Sus scrofa: one gene and its partners. The protein of the gene in region 2 purifies or fractionates together with the protein of the main gene of each other region. This does not show direct contact. Links are inferred from orthologs where the notes say so. Each region holds a gene or a part of one and is shown on either strand. Other genes may lie near its edges.

What was found.
Region 1: the proteins of NIFK (region 2) and NOP2 fractionate together in Homo sapiens (co-fractionation; 3 studies listed by BioGRID, with this or other methods). This does not show direct contact. The link is inferred for Sus scrofa from reciprocal best matches to the Homo sapiens genes NIFK and NOP2.
Region 3: the proteins of NIFK (region 2) and RPL31 fractionate together in Homo sapiens (co-fractionation; 3 studies listed by BioGRID and IntAct, with this or other methods). This does not show direct contact. The link is inferred for Sus scrofa from reciprocal best matches to the Homo sapiens genes NIFK and RPL31.

What each region holds. Positions count from the first base shown.
Region 1 is NC_010447.5:64,103,651-64,109,607, reverse strand, and holds the start of NOP2 (probable 28S rRNA (cytosine(4447)-C(5))-methyltransferase), read right to left. Parts: upstream 3,400-5,957; intron 3,111-3,399; coding exon of another isoform or gene 3,107-3,110; coding exon 3,004-3,106; intron 1,507-3,003; coding exon 1,461-1,506; intron 1,020-1,460; coding exon 931-1,019; intron 746-930; coding exon 507-745; intron 1-506. Other genes in the region: CHD4 (chromodomain-helicase-DNA-binding protein 4), read right to left, coding at 4,944-4,961, 5,145-5,308. UniProt on the Homo sapiens protein: S-adenosyl-L-methionine-dependent methyltransferase that specifically methylates the C(5) position of cytosine 4447 in 28S rRNA. Required for efficient rRNA processing and 60S ribosomal subunit biogenesis.
Region 2 is NC_010457.5:29,716,748-29,722,916, reverse strand, and holds the start of NIFK (MKI67 FHA domain-interacting nucleolar phosphoprotein), read right to left. Parts: upstream 3,894-6,169; 5' UTR 3,879-3,893; coding exon 3,834-3,878; intron 1,968-3,833; coding exon 1,809-1,967; intron 313-1,808; coding exon 175-312; intron 1-174.
Region 3 is NC_010445.4:53,291,989-53,297,858, reverse strand, and holds the start of RPL31 (60S ribosomal protein L31), read left to right. Parts: upstream 1-2,471; 5' UTR 2,472-2,577; intron 2,578-2,962; coding exon 2,963-3,069; intron 3,070-5,870.

The DNA of each region.
Region 1 (5,957 bases), on a different chromosome or scaffold from region 2:
ATAACTTCTCCTACTTCAGTAAATAAATCGTTGTCTACGTTTTGGATCCTCTTCCTAGGACAGAATCACCAAGTCAAAAGAAAAAAATCTTTTTTTTTTGTCTGTTTGACATTTCTTGGGCTGTTCCCACGGCATATGGAGGTTCCCAGGCCAGGGGTCAAATCAGAGCTACAGCTGCCGGCCTACGCCGGAGCCACAGCAACACAGGATCCGAGCCGCGTCTGCAACCTACACCACAGCTCATGGCAACATCAGATCCTTAACCCACTGAGCAAGGCCAGGGATCGAACCCGCAACCTCTGGTTCCTAGTCGGATTAGTTAACCACTGAGCCACAACGGCAACTCCCCAAAGAAAAAATCTTTTTGAGGTTCACAGATACCAAATAAAATCCTTGTCCTCTACACAGGCTTATCCTCGTCACCAAGGGACAGTCAGTCTCAACGATCTGGAAAGACTCAAAAAGGCAAAGATCGCTTCCTGGAGACCCAGAGAGACAGAGCTCACCTCTTCACTGTCATCCTCTTCTTCGTCCTCTGAACTGGAGTTGGCTCCATAGTCATCTACCATATCGGCATCACTGTCCTCAGAGCCCCAGAGGTCCCCCTCGTTCACCACACCACCCTCTTCAGAGTCTTCCTCCTCTCCCTCCTCCTCACTGCTATAGGCTGATGCTGGGCGCTTCTTGCCTTGAGCAGCATTAAATAAGGACAGGGCTCCCTTCTTACTCGGTGTCTGGACGGCTCCTGCAGAGATCCCAAAGGGTTTGAATACCGGGCTGAGAGCAGTCACACATTAATGAGGCCTGTACTCTCTACCCCCACAAATGTCCTTTGGCTGTTCCTTTCACTCCAGAAATGATCAGCAAGCTCTTCCCTACCCAGGACCCAGTGTACTCCTCACATAGCACCCAGCTCCTATTTTCACTGACCTTTTGGTAGCTTTCCAGGCAATGGTCTGGCCCCAGGGGATTTATTTGTCTCACGGACTTCAGCAGAGCCCAACCTCCTCTTGGCTGCCCTGAAAAGACATAAGGAGTAAGGAAATGGAATACCCCTCCAGGCTCTGCCACTTCCCACTGCAGGGAACCATGACAGTCCCCAAAGAGCCCTTTCCATCAGCAGGGTCACATGGGATCATGTGCCCAAAGATGAGCAGGACCAATTTAATCTGCCTGTGTAACATAAATGTGGACATTCACACTCACCTCTTTCTTTCCTTTTTTTTTTTTTTTTTTTTTTTGGTCTTTTTAGGGCCGCACCTGAGGCACATGGCTGTAGCCACCGGCATACACCACAGCCACAGCCACGCCAGATCCGAGCCTCGTCTGCAACCTATGCCACAGCTCATGGCAACACTGGATCCTTAACCCACTGAGCGAGTCCAAGGATTGAACCTGCATCCTTAAGGATGCTAGTAGGATTCGTTTCCACTGAACCACGACAGGACTCCTACACTCACCTCTTTCGAGCACGACTGGACAGCCTCTTGGAATTTTCATCACCAGCTGTTTAAAAAATCAAAAAAAGGAAGAGAGGAGGTTATGAGAAAATAAAAAGCAGGAGAGAAAATAAAAGGGCAGAGAATTAGGACAGTAGTTAAAGGGAAGAGATTGTAACTCACTCCACTGTGCTCTACAGGGAGCCGGGTAAAGAGATGTAAAGGAGCTGATCGCCATCTGGCTGCTCATCAACCAAATCCAAACTGGGCCTCCCTCCAGACTGATTTCAAAAAATAGCATCATCGCCATTCTGAAACTTTCAAATCTTTCTTCTGCCCTTTCTTTTATCTAATCAGTTGCCAACCACAGATTTCAAAACTACTGCTTTTCCTATATTCTCCAAGAAATAGAAAGTTTAAAGCCCTCCTATTTTTTTTTTTTTTCCTTTTGTCCTTTTTTTAGGGCTGCACCGGAGGCGGCTTATGGAGGTTCCCAGGCTAGGGGTCCAATCAGAGCTGTTGCTGCCAGCCTACACCACAGCCACAGCAACGCCAGATCCTAGCCATGTCTGCAAACTACACCACAGCTTAGGGCAGCACCGGATCCTTAACCCACTGAGCAAGGCCAGGGATCGAACCCGCAATCTCATGGTTCCCAGTCGGATTCATTTCCACTGCACCAAGACTGGAACTCCATAAAGCACTATCATTTTATAACTATACAAATTAACCTCTCAGCATCCATTTCCTCGGCAGTGCCTCTCTCACAGGACACAGAGAATGAAGTGATATAATGTGTCCAGCGGGTTCAGCATTGTATTTACCACTTACCTATACTTCAATAAACTGCATCTTTTAGACAATACTCAACACAAACTACCTGCAGTAGACTCCTGACCAAGTGGGAGCCAGCTCTGTGCCTTCCCATCTCCTCTACAATGCAGTTCACAGTGACTGGACTGTCCCGTTCCCAACTTCCACCTGCTAAAATGTCACCCACTTCTCAAAACCCAACTTCTTTTTTCTCCTTCTCTTCTTTTTTTGTCTTACAATCTTTTGTGTCCAGGGCTGATTTTCAATAGATCACACCAAGGGAGCTGCATGGCTACCTATGAAACCCCCACACAGAAGCAGGTCATCTAAGAAGAGCTTAGTGCAAAACCCAACTTCTTGGAAGTTCCTGCTGTGGTGCAGTCGCTTAACGATCAGTATGGTAGGTCACAGCTCCAGTTTGGATTCGCTCCCTGGCCTGGGAACTTCCACATGCTGCCGAGACGGCCAAAAAAAAAAAAAAAAAGTCACAAAATCTTTTCAAACTTGGCAACTCCGTGGAATCCTGCTTCCTCTGAAGGCCCTAAACATTAAACCACACATCTCCTTGCATGGGAACTTGTGCCCGTCACATCTTCCCTAATTTCTAAACGTTTATGAGATTGTTCCATTCATATTTACTTCCTAATAACTCATGAACACACAATCTAAAAAACTGAGGGATTACACTACAGATGGAAGAACGGCGCAAAAGCTAGAGAATCGGAAGGGGACGGGCACGCCTGACCCTTACCTGCAGGCAAGAATCTGACGAGTTCGGTCTCAGCACCTTTCTGCTTTCGGGCCTTTCGGCCCGGCCCGCGTTTCTCCTTCGTAGGGTCCAATTTGCGCCCCATGGTACTGAGGAAAACAAAAACGAGAGACAGTAGAGTGGCGCGTGTTGTCCGGGAAAGGCAGAGAGCAGACGAAGCAAGTTGAAGTGGAAAAGGGCACTGCCTTGACGAGAACCTCGACTCAGCAGCCCCACTGCCCCTCGAGGCCTGGCCACACCTCCACTACACGCTGAGCCCCGGGCCCTGGGTCCCACACCGCTGGTACAACGTCCCCTTCCCACGCCCCGGTCCAAGTGGACGCCTCACCCTTCCTTCCTCGACTTCCTGCAGAAGACCCGCCCGAAGCTGCAGCTCACCTGGAAGCGGGTCCAGTCCCGAGAAGGCCCTAGGAAGCAGCGACAGCACTCCACGTGTGGTGCGGGGCTGGCGCTCCGACGCCACACCACGGGAACGTCTCGCGCAAGCGCACAGCGCGCCCGCTGAGGCCCCGCCTCTTCCGGGCTTCCCGTCCGCCGCGGAAGCCGGAAGTTTCATTCGCGCGGCCGCGCGGGGCAGGCGGTGCAGAGGGCGGCCGGGGAGGACCGCTCTGCTCTCTCCCAGGTGGAGAAGGCGGCGCGTAGGGGGACGCCTTTAGCTTCCCCGCCCTTCCCTCCAGATGTGGGCCTTACGCCTTATGGCGGATTTCGTCCGAAAAACTGGTACCCAAAAGACGGCCCCTCCCTTCGGACGGAGGCGTCAGAGCCGGACCCTCTTTCGCCCCACGTCTCAAGGTCGCACCCACTCCCAAGTCCTGTGACTTTGAAACCTTCTTCCTTGACACCATACCCCGCGCTGCCCCTCAGGTAAGGGAACTCTCTGCCTTGGTTCCCATACGAGAGGTCGGGAGGACGGCATCTTGTGTTCTCACTTCACACAAACAGAAAACCCAGAGCAGCCTTTCTTGAAATAAACCCTAAGGTGGTGCTTAGCAGCTGTTCAAAACTGCTCCGGCACTTCGCTGGTTTGTCTTCGCAATGTTGCGAGGAAGATTCTCCTTTGATTCTCTACAGCAGACATCTACAGCCTGGAGACGGCCGCGAAGCTGGGAGTCAGGCTTAGGCTGTGAACCCAGGGGGCTCCGGAGCTCCTCGCAGCGTGCAGGTGGTGGCGGCCGGAGCACGAGGGTAGGTGCACAGTCCAGATTTCGTGGAGTCTCAGGACACAAGGAAACCCTTGGTCTTCAGCTGCACTGTCCCAAGGCTCCCGTCGGACACACCCACCTGCACCTACACCCACACTGAACCAGAGCACTAAAATACAAGGAAACTTTTATTTTCAATTTTTGTCAAGAAATTTGCTGTGGTTTTTTATGCTTTTGGTTCTTTTCCTTTTTTTTTTTTTTTTTTTTTCCAACTTTATTTCATTCTAGCCGCTCAGGGGCTGGAGCCGCTGGGTTCCTGGTATTAAAAAGATGCCAACAGAGGTAGCTGTGTCTCGCCCAGGGGCCCGGCCCACTGTGAATACCCCCCAAAAAGGAGAAATGAAAACACAAAATAAACCAACAAAATAAAACCAAAAGGAGGAAGAAATTCAGATCATTTTCTTCAAGCCTGGCGGGAACCCACAACAGTTTGTGTGTAACAGACGTTACAGTGGGGAGAAGCCAGGGCCCAAAAGGCCAGCCCGCCAGCTCCCTGCAGATGGCGCCGGCGCTACTGCTGCATGTCTCTCCAGCAGGAAGGGCACCACTGCCCCTCACTCCCTCCCCTCCCCCAGTGCACTGGGGGCTGTTCCTCTACAGCTTGGAAGATGGGGCAGAAGGGAGGAGAGGGTCTCTCAGGCCCCCAGGGGAGAAGCTGGGCAAGGGAAAGTGAGGAAGGTCACTGCTCAGCGGTGGACGTGGTATCATCCATCTGGATCTTCACTGCTGCTGGGCTACCTAGAGAAAGAGAGAGCCAAGAGGGTCAGAATGTCAGACCCCAGGAACCCTCCTGACCCCAAAGGAACTCACTGGTGGACCAGCCCCACCTGCCCAATGTGTAAAGCCAGGGACAGACAGCAACGTTACAAGTTCCAGAGTGGCTCTGCTGGAACAGATGGCCAGAGGAAAATGGTCCTATACCTGCTGTGGAGTCGGTTCAGGTGCCCGGTTTGCCAGGCGGCTGAGAATGTTACGCTCGGACATCTGTAGCCTCACAGCAACTGGGGGAATTCGGGCAATAGTAGCTGGGAGTCGAGTCACATCGGCTTTCATGTCACTCAGCAGTTCTTCTAGCTGTTTCAGAACTGCATGGGGGGGAAAAAAGGCGGTGAGCCGTGGTGGTCAAGACCTAGGCCCATCTTATAATATGTGGACCGGCTTTCCCATCACTTCTCAATGATCAAGTGACGTGCTGGAGTGCTGTCTTGTCAGTCACCTGACCTGGCTCCACCACGCTCAAATTCCTATTCCTCATATTCCAATTCCAAGTGTCCATGATTCTATGTTTTAAAGTTACCTCTGTCTCTTGATCCCTGTCTCTATCTCCATCACTTTTATTTTTTCTTGACTGTGCCTGCAGCATGCAAAAGCTTCCAGGCCAGGGAGAGAACCATGCCACAGCAGTGACAACACCAAATCTTTAACCACTAGGCCACCAGGGAACTCCGCCACTTCTTAAATAGCTATTCCTATTTCTTTCCTCTCCACTTTTGGAGCTGTCTCCCTCTTCCTTTATAACAGCTGCCTTTTCCTCATTTCACCCTCCACCCCCTCACAATGTCTTACCTTTAATTAGAAACAGGATGTTGAAAGGGGGTCTAGAAAGCACAAGATCGTAAATAACCTGAAGTTACCTCTAAAGTAGCCCAGATAACACTATGTATTATTCTGGGTTGCTCTCCACCTCTCCAAAAAGCTGAGTATATTCAAGAAGTTAAGAGGCAAAGAACTACT
Region 2 (6,169 bases):
AACAGTAAAACATTAACAGGAATAGTGATTTTGCTCTCACAGCTGTTTCAGGTTCTAGTTCTCGCTCCACCCCTTTCTAGAGGGAGCGATAATAAGGAACATGCTCCATACACTGTCAAGGGTGATATTCTTTTGGAAAATGAAACAACTTATCTCAATCCAAAAAAAACTTACCTTTTTACTCCTGGACAGTCTCAATCTTGTAACAGTGCCAAACTGGGAGAAATATGCTCGGATCTGGGTTTCATATAGCGATGGAGGTAAGTGGCCCACATAGATTACTCCAGGAGTAAGTTTTTGTTTCTCTGGTTGCTGAAGACATCAAGACCAGGCAAATATTTTTTTAAATAAGAAACAACAACACATTGCAACAAATCCTGTGAAAACTCCCTGCTTTCAGTCTAAGACAACAGATAAGAACCTACCCTGCATCTCCACTTAGCACAACAGAATATAAAAATTAACTGTTTAATGTCCATCTCCCCACAAAGACAATTGTCAAGCAGGAGACTGTCTTCTCAGCGTCCCCATTCCAGGCCCCCAAAGTCAATGCTCAGTAAGTATACGGTGAATCAATGGTTTGAACGCATTATTCAAAATCTTCTGGCCTAAGAACTCCACATAAGTACAGTTTTGCAGATCATCGTTTAATTCGTACTCACCTAAGTCAACTATTTTAAGACGTTAGTTAACAGTACCTCCAACATACCCTTGTTTTCTATAATAAGGACTTTTAAGTTTTCCGGGAATGCATTTTATGCTAAAACCTTTGGGAAACAGAACTTTATGTCAGGGCCCCTAGTCGTAAGCAAATGAAGCCTGGCAAAAATTGTCTCTTAAGGATTCCAAAACCATGGACCTGGCAACCGAACCTCCCCAATTTGGGGATGAAACCATGTACCAGACCCTAAATCTTTGTGTTTTGAAATAAACGGCCTTTCCTTTAGTCTCCCAGGCCTCCCCTCAGTCTCAAAAGGCTGACTCGAGAGTTAATGATTAGAAAATACTGTTACAGCTAAAACCTAGTTAAAACAGTCTCCATTATGTTGTGTCCTGCCTTGGTCTGCTAACTTATTACTAATGTTTACTTTCTAATCAGAGTTATATTGCACCTAATGTTTTCTTTTATAATTGAAACACTCTTCTGACACCCCTTCCCCTTAAGCAGTCTTTATTCCAGAGAGAAGGTCAAGGGACGATAACCCTGAAGACAACCAGAAACCATCACCAAACCGACTGACTCCGGATTTGACTACTTTGAAATGATCTATGGATTAAGAATAACATAGACATCTTAATCAATAATCCTGTCTTCCGAGCTAAACCTATAAAACCCCTTGCTATCCCCTCTCAAGTCAGGACATAGCTTTGAGGCATTAGCCTGCCGTGTCCTCCTTTGCCTGGCAAAGCAATAAAACTGTTCTTTCTCTTCCTCAAAACTCCGACTCCCAAACTAGTGCCAGTGAACAGAGGCCACATTTTCCCTACAGGGGCAGAGCCAAAGAACGCTCTTTCGGATCTGGGGCTGATCTGCGGTACAAGGGGCGCTCCCATCGGCTGGCCTCCTCTTTTCCATCGTCACCCCAACACCCACCCCTTCATTTTTCGGTCCTCTCGGGAAAACCTCGGTCTCCTGGGGTCGGGGTCTCCTGGGGTCGGGGTCTCCTGGGGTCGGAGTCTCCTGGGGTCGGGGCCTCCAGGGTGACCCTGCTGAGGCACAGGCGTGGGGCTGCCGAGACGCGCTGGGCAGAAGGCCCAGGGCGCGCCAGCCGCCTCCTCTCGCGGTTGGGGCCGCGCAGGCCACTCACCTTGGTTGCGCGACGGCGAGCCAGCGCTACCTTCTTCTGGAACTTAGCATCTTCTTGCGGATTCAGGGACAAGAGCGGCCCAACCTGGGCAGCGAGAGCCGCCATTAAGCCTGCTACCGGGCTAACCAAATCCACGCGGAGCTCCCGGAAATGCGAGTCCTGTAGGGTTCCAAAGCGGAAGTGAGGGCGGGGCCTGGGCGCGACGCGGCGCGGCAGGGGGTGGGGCCTGGGCGGGGCGCGGGGAGGGTCCAGCGAGCTCCGGCGTCCCCTGCCTCAACAGCCGCTGACCTCACTCTAACACCTGCCAGCTCCCCAAAATTGCTGTGAATAGCTTGTTAGCGTTTCCTCTATGGCCCTCACATTTCAAGGGCCAGGGTTGGGATAAAAACCAACTCCAGGGAGTTCCCATTGTGCCTCAGCAGGTTAAGAACCCGACTAGCATCCATGAAGGTGTGGGTTCCACCGCTGGCCTCGCTCACTGGGATAAGGTTCTAGCATTGCCGTGAGCTGTAGTGTAGGTCACAGATGCAGCTCAGATCTGGTGTTGCTGTGGCTGTGGTGTAAGCCGGGCAGCTGCAGCTTTCATTTGACCCCTAGACAATCGACTCCAGAAATTCTCTGGTGTCTCAGCGGGTTGGCTCAGGGCAGGTAGCTGCTGCAGTTTCTATCCCTGGCCAGGGAACTTCCTCCAGTCCTGAGCGCAGTCAAAAACCAAAACCAAAAACGAAACCAACCCCAAAACAATACTCGTGCCCTTGAGGTCTTGCTAACCATTAATTCTTTTCTATTTATCTTCTTTCTTTTTGCTGTTTAGGGCTGCACCCTCAGCATAGTTCTCAGGCTACAGGTTGAATCGGAGCTGCAACTACCCGCCTACATCACAGCCATAGCAACTCCACATACCACAGCTCCTGGCAACGCAGGATCCTTAACCCAGTGAGCAACGCCAGGGATGGAACCCACATCCTCATGGATACTAGTCGGATTCGTTACCACTGAGTCACAATGGTAACTCCCCTATTTTCCTTTTTCACTTGTTTTTTGAGCTCTTATTGTGCGTCCCTCTGCTGCTGCCTTTGGGGAACTTAGAGCTTGGGGGGAGGGGCAGATAAAGGACGTCTGAGGGTGGGTCTGGTGCTATGTGAGATACTGAAGAGATTGGGGGAGAGGCATCCTGGGTGGCAAGGAGGGCCTCCGGAGGAGGTAGCTTTGAGCTGAGACCTGAAGGCATGGGGAGCAGGCATGGAGGTCTTAGGCTGGAAAGAAGGGACCAGCCATTGTGGCTGGAGCTCAGCAAGGGGTGAGGACCAAGGGTGCAGGTGGGAGCTCCAGGGCTCTGCTTGTCAAGGTTGAAAGCTTGGGTTTTATTGTAAATGCAGGGGAATGGGAGGGTTTTATGGAAGGCTGTGGTTGTTCATACCTTTCAAATAACTCCACTAGTTAGGGTGGCAGGTGGACTGAAGAAACAGGGAGTCAAGGCTACAGTAGTAGTCCATGCCAGCCAGTATGGGAGACAGAGGTGGCAGATTGCCCAATGAAAACAAATGCACTACCTAAAATTTGGGTATTACGTTTTCTCCTTCCGATTTTTCTTGTAGAGGGCAGAGGCTTCTTGGGTAGAACAATTTTTCACTGGACTGTGTGTCCCACTCTGCCTTGGCACCCTGTCTCCAGCACCTGATGTCAGCACCACCCTTCTCCCCCCAAGTCACTTAACAACCAAATGCCTCCAGACACTTCTACAGACCTGAGTGTGTGGCTGCGTGTGCTCAATGAATGTCTCTCCTTTCTTTTGCCCCCACTGACCACCCACCATGCCACCCCTCTGTGGGAACTCAATAGTGGCATGTCTTTCCTATGGGGCCACCATCACCACCTATGCACTGGAGCCCCTGGCAGGGGATGGGGTAGGTAGCATGGTGAGGGCTGATGTCAGAGCTTCAGGGTAAGGCAGGGTGTGCTGAGTATCTAGGGAGCTGGGTCTTGGGAACAGAAGACTCTGAGAGGTGGGGCTGAGGTGCCTACCCAGCCCTGCTCGCCTTCCTCCTCTTCTCCTCCTTTTCCATCCATTGTGCCTGGTCCCTGAGGGGTCATCCAACCTTCCAGCTATGAGTCAGCATGCTCAGCCCTGCCTGGCTGACCCTTGCTCAGTCACAGGGCTTTTGGGCTGAAAGGGACAATTTTAGGGGAAGTGGAGAGAAAGTGTCATTTGTTTCATTAGTCTCAATAGTGCAGCCTCAGGACATGTCACCTGACAACTAAAAATTCCGCCTGTATTCAGTTTAGGGCCACAGGACCTGAAGTTGGGAGGGAAATTTTCTTTCTCTGTCCTTCTCTGTGACTATCACCTTGGCCACATCTTGCCCTGTGCCAGGTCTAACTTCATGCACAACCCCGAATCTAGACCCTGAGTGTGGCAATGACCTTGGCAAAGCGGGGGGGGGCGGGGGGGGGGCTCCTGGAGGGATGGGGGTGGGGAGAGTGGAGAGGGGTAGCTGCTCATAGGGTTCACTGCCCTTCAAGGAAACTTGTAGAAGTGTACCACCTATAACAGAGTCTTCAGTACTATTAAATGAGTCATATTTTCACCCTTAAATGAGCCCAGAATGTCTACAGTGTTAACATTCACACTCAGGAGAGTGCAGCCAAGTGGCCAGGGGGATGGAGATGAGTTCAGTTTCTCTAGAAAGAGATTTGGCAAAATCTGTCAAGGACTTTAAAAATAGGACTTATTGGAGTTCCCACTGTGGCTCTATGGGCTAAGAACCTTACTAGTATCCATGAGCATGTAGCTTCAATCCAGTGGGTTAAGTATCTGGCATCGCCTTGACCTTTGGTGTAAGTCACAGATGTGGCTTGGATCCTGTGTTGCTGTTGCTGTGGCGAAGGCAGGGAACTTCATATGCCTCAGGTGTATCCCTAAAAAGACAAAAACAAGCCAACAAAAAAAGAAGACTGGTGGAAATTCCTGCTGTGGCACAAGAGGATCCGTGACATCTCTGCAGCGCCAGGATGCAGGTTCAGTCCCTGGTGCAGTGCAGTGGGTTAAATGATCCAGTGTTGCTGCAGGTGCAACATAGGCCAAAACTGTGCCTTGGATCTTCTCCCTGGCCCAGGAACACCATATACCTTGGGGCAGCCAAAAAAAGAAAAAAAAAAAAGGACTTATCAAAGCAATGATCTTATCATTTAAAAAATTCTAATTTTTTCTTTTTTGTTGTAGTCGACTTACAATAATTTCAAGTATACAATTTAGTAATATTTTTATAGATTATACTCCATATAATGTTGTTATACAATATTGGCTATTTCACTGTGCTGTACATTACATTCCTGTTACTTGTCTATTTTATACCTTGTGGTTTGAACCTCTTAATCTCTGACCCAATTTGCTCCTCCCCCCATTAGTCCATTACTCTGTGTCTGTGGAACTGCTGCTGCCTTGCTATATTTAATCGTTTGCTTTATTTTTTAGATTCCTCATAAAAGTGAAAACATACAAGAGTTACCATGGTGGCTCAGCATTAATGAATCTGACTACTATACATGATTTGATCCTTGGCCTCGTTCAGTGGGTTAAGGATCTGGTGTTGCCGTGAGCTGTGGCATAGGTTGCAGTCTCAGCCTGGATCTGGTGTTGTGTGACTGTGGTGTAGGCTGGCAAATGCAATTCTGATTTGACCCATAGTCTGAGAACTTCCAAATGCCATGAGTGTGCTCATTAAAAAAAAAAAAACAGTGAAAACATACAGTATTTGTCTTTCTCTGCCTGACATTTCACTAAGCATACTGCCCTCCAGGTCCATCTATGTTGTCACATTTGGTAAAATTTCATTCTTTTTTATGGCCAAGAAATAGTCCATTGTATGTATACATATATAGGCTACATTTTTGAAACTATTCATCTGTTGATGGACACATGTTGCTTCCATATATTGGCTATTGTAAATAATGCTACTCAGAACATTGACATGCGTGTATTTTTTCAAATTTGTGTTTTTCTTTTCTTTGGATACATACCCAGGAGTGGAATTCTGGATTGTATGCTACTGCCATTTTTAATTTTTGAGAAATCTCCCATAATGTTTTCCACAGTAGTTGTACTAACTTATATTCCTACTAACAGTGCAGGAGGGTTCCCTTTTTTCCACATCTTCACCAATACTTGTTATTTATTGTCTTATTGTCTTTTCTTTTTTTTTTTTGGCTGTGCCTGTTGCATGTTCCCAGGCCAGGGATCAAACCTGTACCACAGCAACAACCCTAGCTGCTTAAGAGAAAATGCCAGATCCATAACCTGCTGCATCACAACAGAACTCCTGTTTACTGTCTTTTTGAAGATAGCCATTCTTACAGGTGAG
Region 3 (5,870 bases), on a different chromosome or scaffold from region 2:
TTTTTTTTTAAGGCAACAGCATATTTGTGTCCTAGGATTATCTAGCTGGAATCCATTAGCAGAAGGTGGAGTAGGTCGTGCCGCTAATTTAATTTAATGCTGCTTAAATCTGACATGTTCAGAGTCTGGATAAACTCAGAAACTCCTGTTGGGTAATATTTCTTTAAACCCACAGAACATCAGAAGTTTAATCCCTAAATTTTTCATTTAACTTTGCTAACTAAAAGAGTATTTTGCAACCCTGTCCTGGTTCCTGAAAAGCCATAACCTTTCTATTTGGAAAACTATAAAGGCTTAGCTAACAAGTGACTGAAACGTGAACTCTGGAATACACCAAGTCTTAGAATATTTTAAACTAACTCAGCTAAAATGTAGTATCTTCTGTCTCTAATGGCAATTAACATCCATTCAATTAATCTGAAATTTTTGTTTATATAGTCAACATGGTGTACTTGTCAACTATGATACTGTTCTAAGCCATGACATTTTGTACTCTTGCCAAATTATCTGGTAAAATGTGGGTGCTGGGTACAAAATTGCTTCAGTTTCTCTCCTCACTTGATGTGAAGCCTGACAGTTTTAAAGTCAGCCATCAATAACCTAGAGATATAACTAATTTAGATCCCCTAGAGAAATGCCATATGTAGCTTTTTTTGGACACATACAAGGCACTTCATACATTGAACTTTATACAATGCATATGACCAAGACAAACCACAGTATACTTCACTTCTCTTAGCATAACATGGTTGATTCAATAGCTGAAATATCCAGCCTATGGTATCTGTGGAAAAGCTTTAGTTTCTTGGGAAAAATAAAAGCTCATTAGAAACACTACAAGAAAATCTCCTTAGGATTTTTGCCTAACCAGACAATGTCCAGTTATGGGAGAAGCAGGGTAACCTGTTAGCATATTCACTAAAGTAATGCATGCCTTAAAATGTATACTCCAATGTTTATACACTTAAAAGTTCCTGAATTTAATTCAGTAGATGACTCAATATCCTTTAAAACCAACTGCCCTCTCCCAATGTCCCCATTTTTTTCAGTGGTGCCATGACCCACACATCGACACAAACTGAAAATCTTTATCCTCCACGCTGGTAAATTCATTTTTGTCAGAGGGAATTTTGTACCTGGAAAGATATCACCACTAACTGTAAGTCATGTAATGTCCAATTTATTGATCTTAAAAAGGTATCAATTAGCATTCTTTTAACCATTACACTGTCAACATTTCCCATATTAATCACATACTACCTAAACAACAGATGAGTCGATATTTAGGAATTTACAAAAAAAAATTTCCCCAATTATGAAAAGAGATTACAGATAGAAACACTCGTAAGAATTTAATTCAAATCTCAAGTCTGATACAGATTTAAGAGTTCTAAAAAGGACCCACAAAATATAACAAAATTGATTATCTTTACATCAGAACTGGCTGCAAGGTGTGAATATCACAGATTTAACTTTGTCTTGTATTTTATTCCATGATCATTCTCACGCCTTCTCAATGGTCCAGTTTTAACATACATTTCGAGGGCTCCAGTTAACTCAGCAAATAAAATTTTACACCTCCCTAGGTTTAAGGACCTTACCATACCCACGCTGCCTGCAACAAAAGAATGCAATTTCTGACCAACTTAAGGTCCAGAGTTGTCAACCCATCGGTTTGGCATGGGGATCTGGGACGTGGCTACGCGGTCAACTCACACCAGACGTGCTGGCGTCAGATTCCTCACTTTTCATTTCCAAAGTCAGATTTCTCTCTTTTCATTTCCAGGTGTTGGGGAAAAGTGCTATTGCTATTATGGGGCCATTTGCGTGTGATAGAGCTGAAAACAAATACTGCTTTAAGGTCATGAAATCACACTGATTTCTTCGATGTAAAAGTCGTATACAGTATTTTACTCCTTTCCAAGGTGATTTGTCAACTACTCTACTAACGGTGCTTCCAAAACTGACATTTCATATAGCCAATTATAAACTGTCAATTTTAATTTAAAAATACTTATTGTGCAAACCTTTCCTCGGCCTCCTCCTCACTCCTAGCCCAGCCACCCTCACCCACGGCCCGCGGCTGCACAGCAGCCTCCGCGTGAGGCTCCCGGGTACCGGGCTGCGAGGACGCCGGTTCGCGAGCCCGCCCTGCTCGACGGGAGCATCTCCAGGGCCACCAGCCTGGCGTACAGGTTCAGGCAACGCTAGCCTGGCCGATCGCTGAGAGAGTGGGAAAACCAGAAAAGCATCTTCTCGCCTCGCCTCGGTCCGCTCCTCCTGGGGGCCTAGGTTCCGGCATCCTCTAAAAGCCCTTGTTAGTGCGCAGGCAGCTGGAACGCGGCGGTAGGAAACGACGCAGAGAGGGCGACGTTCGAGCGCGCGGCCGCGGCCCGCTCAGGCCCCGCTCAGGCCCCGCCCTCGAGACAAGCTTGCATTTCTTGCGGCGCGCGCCGTGGACGTCACAGCCTCTCCCCCCGCCCACCCTTCCAGGTGACCCGGAAATTGTACTTGCGACGCCGCTTTCCTTCTCCCACAAACCCTTGCGCTCTTCCTTTCCAACCAGGGCCGGGGAAAGTGAGTATGGGTGCTGGCTCCCAGCTTGAGGAATCCGGCGCCATCCTCGCCTGGGATTGTGTCGAATGAAACAGGGGGCTCTCTCCTGAGCCGACCTGGGCCTCCGCGTTCCAGGGGCACGGGAGTCTGCGTTGCGTTTAAGGGCTCCCGGAGCCTGTGAGGGAGAGTGGCCGGCTTAGGAGAGCCGGGGCTGCAGGGGGTTCCGGGGGCGGGGGCGTCTAAGGGCGCAGACGTGCCGTGGCCCGCCGGGCTTTTCCCAGACGTGGGCCTTCAGGGACCTGGCCGGACTCTCTGCCCCTGGAAGCGTCCCGAGGCCAGGCCGGGAGGAAGGACTTGGCTTGGGTTTGTCCCACTCACTCTGAGCCTCCTTGTCGCCTGGGTCTAGATGGCTCCCGCAAAGAAGGGTGGCGAGAAGAAGAAGGGCCGGTCCGCCATCAACGAGGTGGTAACCAGGGAGTACACGATCAACATTCACAAGCGCATCCATGGCGTGTGAGTAATGCCTGCGTTCGGCCAGTGTCTTCTGACCGCGCGGGGTCTAGAAATGAACCGTTTCTTCAAGAGCCCAAGTCTTTACTGCATAGACCTTATCGAAGGCTGTTTGTAGGGTTTAAAGCGAAATGGAGGTTAACGCCTAAATAAGGGTTCTGGGAAGCCTACTTGGGGAGATGCGGTGGTAAATCGATGCTACTTCTTGCTGTGTTGATCGAATTAAACCCGGCAGGTCTAGGGGTGAGACGTGTGTGTGAGGATGAGTAGACCTTTTCACTGTCTCCAGAGTCCAGTAAAGTCAACCAGGTAACTAAAAACGCCAGGTCCGGCCCAGAGTCCGAACATTGCAATGGGGTAATTTTAGTTCTCCCACCCACACAGCTAAGTACTAAGTAATATTGGTCCAGTTGTGGTGCTGGATGTGGAAGTTCTGGAGAGGCCAGAGAAGAAAGTGTTCTGAAGTTAGCGGGCAGTGGTTTGTGGAGAAGACGCTGGCTGCATATGTGATATACAAGGACGTTGGGAATGACTGTGAATGTCGTAGTTCTTGATTTTCCTCCCTGGGGTGTGGTTTTTATAGTTCTTTGTTTATTTTTATTTTGTCTTTTTAGGGCCGCACCCGGCATGTGGAAGTTCCCAGGCTAGGGGTCCAATCAGAGCTGTAGCCACCAGCCTATACCACAGCCACAGCAACGCAGGATCCGAGCCTGGCCTGCAACCTACAGCACAGCTCTTGGCAACGCTGGATCCTTAACCCACTGAGCGGGCCCAGGGATCGAACCTGCCTCTTCATGGATGCTAGTCGGATTCGTTTTTAGTTCTTGAGCTTTGTGCGTGTTCCCCCTTTTATGCACACGGTGCTGACTAGTAATAACAGACCAAATCCATCGAGTGCTGTTATTTGGAGTGTTTTTAAGAGCCAGGGTGGTGCTGCAAAATACTCAGGCACCAGTCTGGGGAGCAACTTGTCTGGGCATTCTCATCTCAGGACAACTGATTTTCGAAAGGGATTTAAATGTGTGGCACTGTCTCTTAGCCCTGGCGTTTCCAGCCAAGCGTTGGCCATGTGTGAAGCCTGAGGTCTCTGGGGGTTTCTGGGTCAACGGTGCCCTTTTTGTGCATTACTGCAGCTTGTAACCACATTCTCTCCTCCCACCCCGTTATTGGGGCACGAATGTGTTCACTGGGGGGCATGTTAAGCACTTAACTGTGTCTGGGGCTCTGCGGATTCACAAGGGAACCAAAGATCCTGCCTTCCGAGTTTCCTTGGTGGGGAAGTTAGGGAAGTATCCAGCTATAAAATGGTAGAAAGTGCCAGATGGTGAGTAAGTCACAGGTGAAAGGGGCGGTGGTTTAAAGGTCAGACAACTGGGAATTGGAAGAGTGGGCTTGAGCCATTGCAGGTGGATGAGATTTGGGGGCATTTTGCCGCAAAGGCTTTAACTGAAGATGTGTGCAGAGCAGTCTTTTGGTCTTTTTTTAGTTCTTACTTGATTGGCAGCAACTGAGAGTCCTTTGTTCATTTTACTTCCCGAAGATTCCATGGTTTTGTTTTTCTTTTGCTTCTCTAGCTGTTCCTCAGTCTGCTCTGTCCCTCCTCACTGCCCATCCTCTTAATGTTGAGTCCAGGGCTCAGGTCCTCCATTTTCTGCCTATACTTGGTAATAACAACTAGTTTTAGGGCCTCACATGCCCAGCTGCTTTTGAAACGTATTACCTGGGTGTTTAATAGGCATCTCTAGCTTTACCTTCCCCCAGACCAGCCCCCTGGGGTCCATCTTCACCCCTGGCCCTCCCACTGCCCCATGGCCTCCCCCCCCCCCCCAATCACTGGCCTGTGGGCATGTCCTCTGGGCTCAGCCTTCCACAATCTGCCTGCGCTGGTCCCTCCACCCAGACACCTGGTCTCTTCTCAAACCCTCTATCGGCAGAAAAGCCATGTTCCTGCTGTGATTCCTCATGAATTGACCACTTTCTTAATCATACCAGGCCAGGCAGTATCTGAGTCTGAGTAGCAGTTTGGTTTTAGTTTCACTTTTTCCCCTGCCTTGGTGTTTTTCTTGCAGACAGCTTGGTAGCTGTCCTTGTCATCTCTGGATCTTGCTGGGGTTTTTTAAACCTGCAGCCCCTTCCCTAATGCTTTCTCCTTTCACTGCTTTATTTTTCTCTGTAGCACTTGATACCATCTGAGTGTCACCCATATAAACCACGTGAAAAATGGGCTTTAAGTGAATGAAGCCAGCTGGCATGATGGGTTTGGGGAGGCTGAGAGGGTAGAGCGAAGGGAGACTTGATAGCACGGCCCCTCCTGTCATTTACAGTGGGGGGATCACCTCTTTACACTTTGGTTTCTGCCCCACTTGGAATAGCTTTCACTTAGCAAATGTGTAACTGATTCAGCCTGTAATAAAGTTTGGTTTTTCCACATTTAACTTACAACATGGAATTCAAAAAGATTTATGTATTCTTATCAAAACCACAGGTTAATAGTGCCTGACACATGCCCTGGAATCTGTAGAATTAACTGTTGCCCTCGACGTATTTCTTGAAACTGGTACATTTCAGACCCCTGCTCTTTAAGACCAAGCTATTAGCGAACTTTTAGTGTTCAATGATTTCCGGAAACATGGCTTGTCTTAGGATGTGACAGATAATCTTAATTGTATTTTAGCTTGAGGACACTTAATTTACCTCAGTGTTGGATATTGTATGTTCAGGCTTATGCTAACCACATTCTTTGATTATATTTTCCCTGGCAGAGAGTATTAGATATTAGAGCATAGGAGTGTTTATCAGGAAAG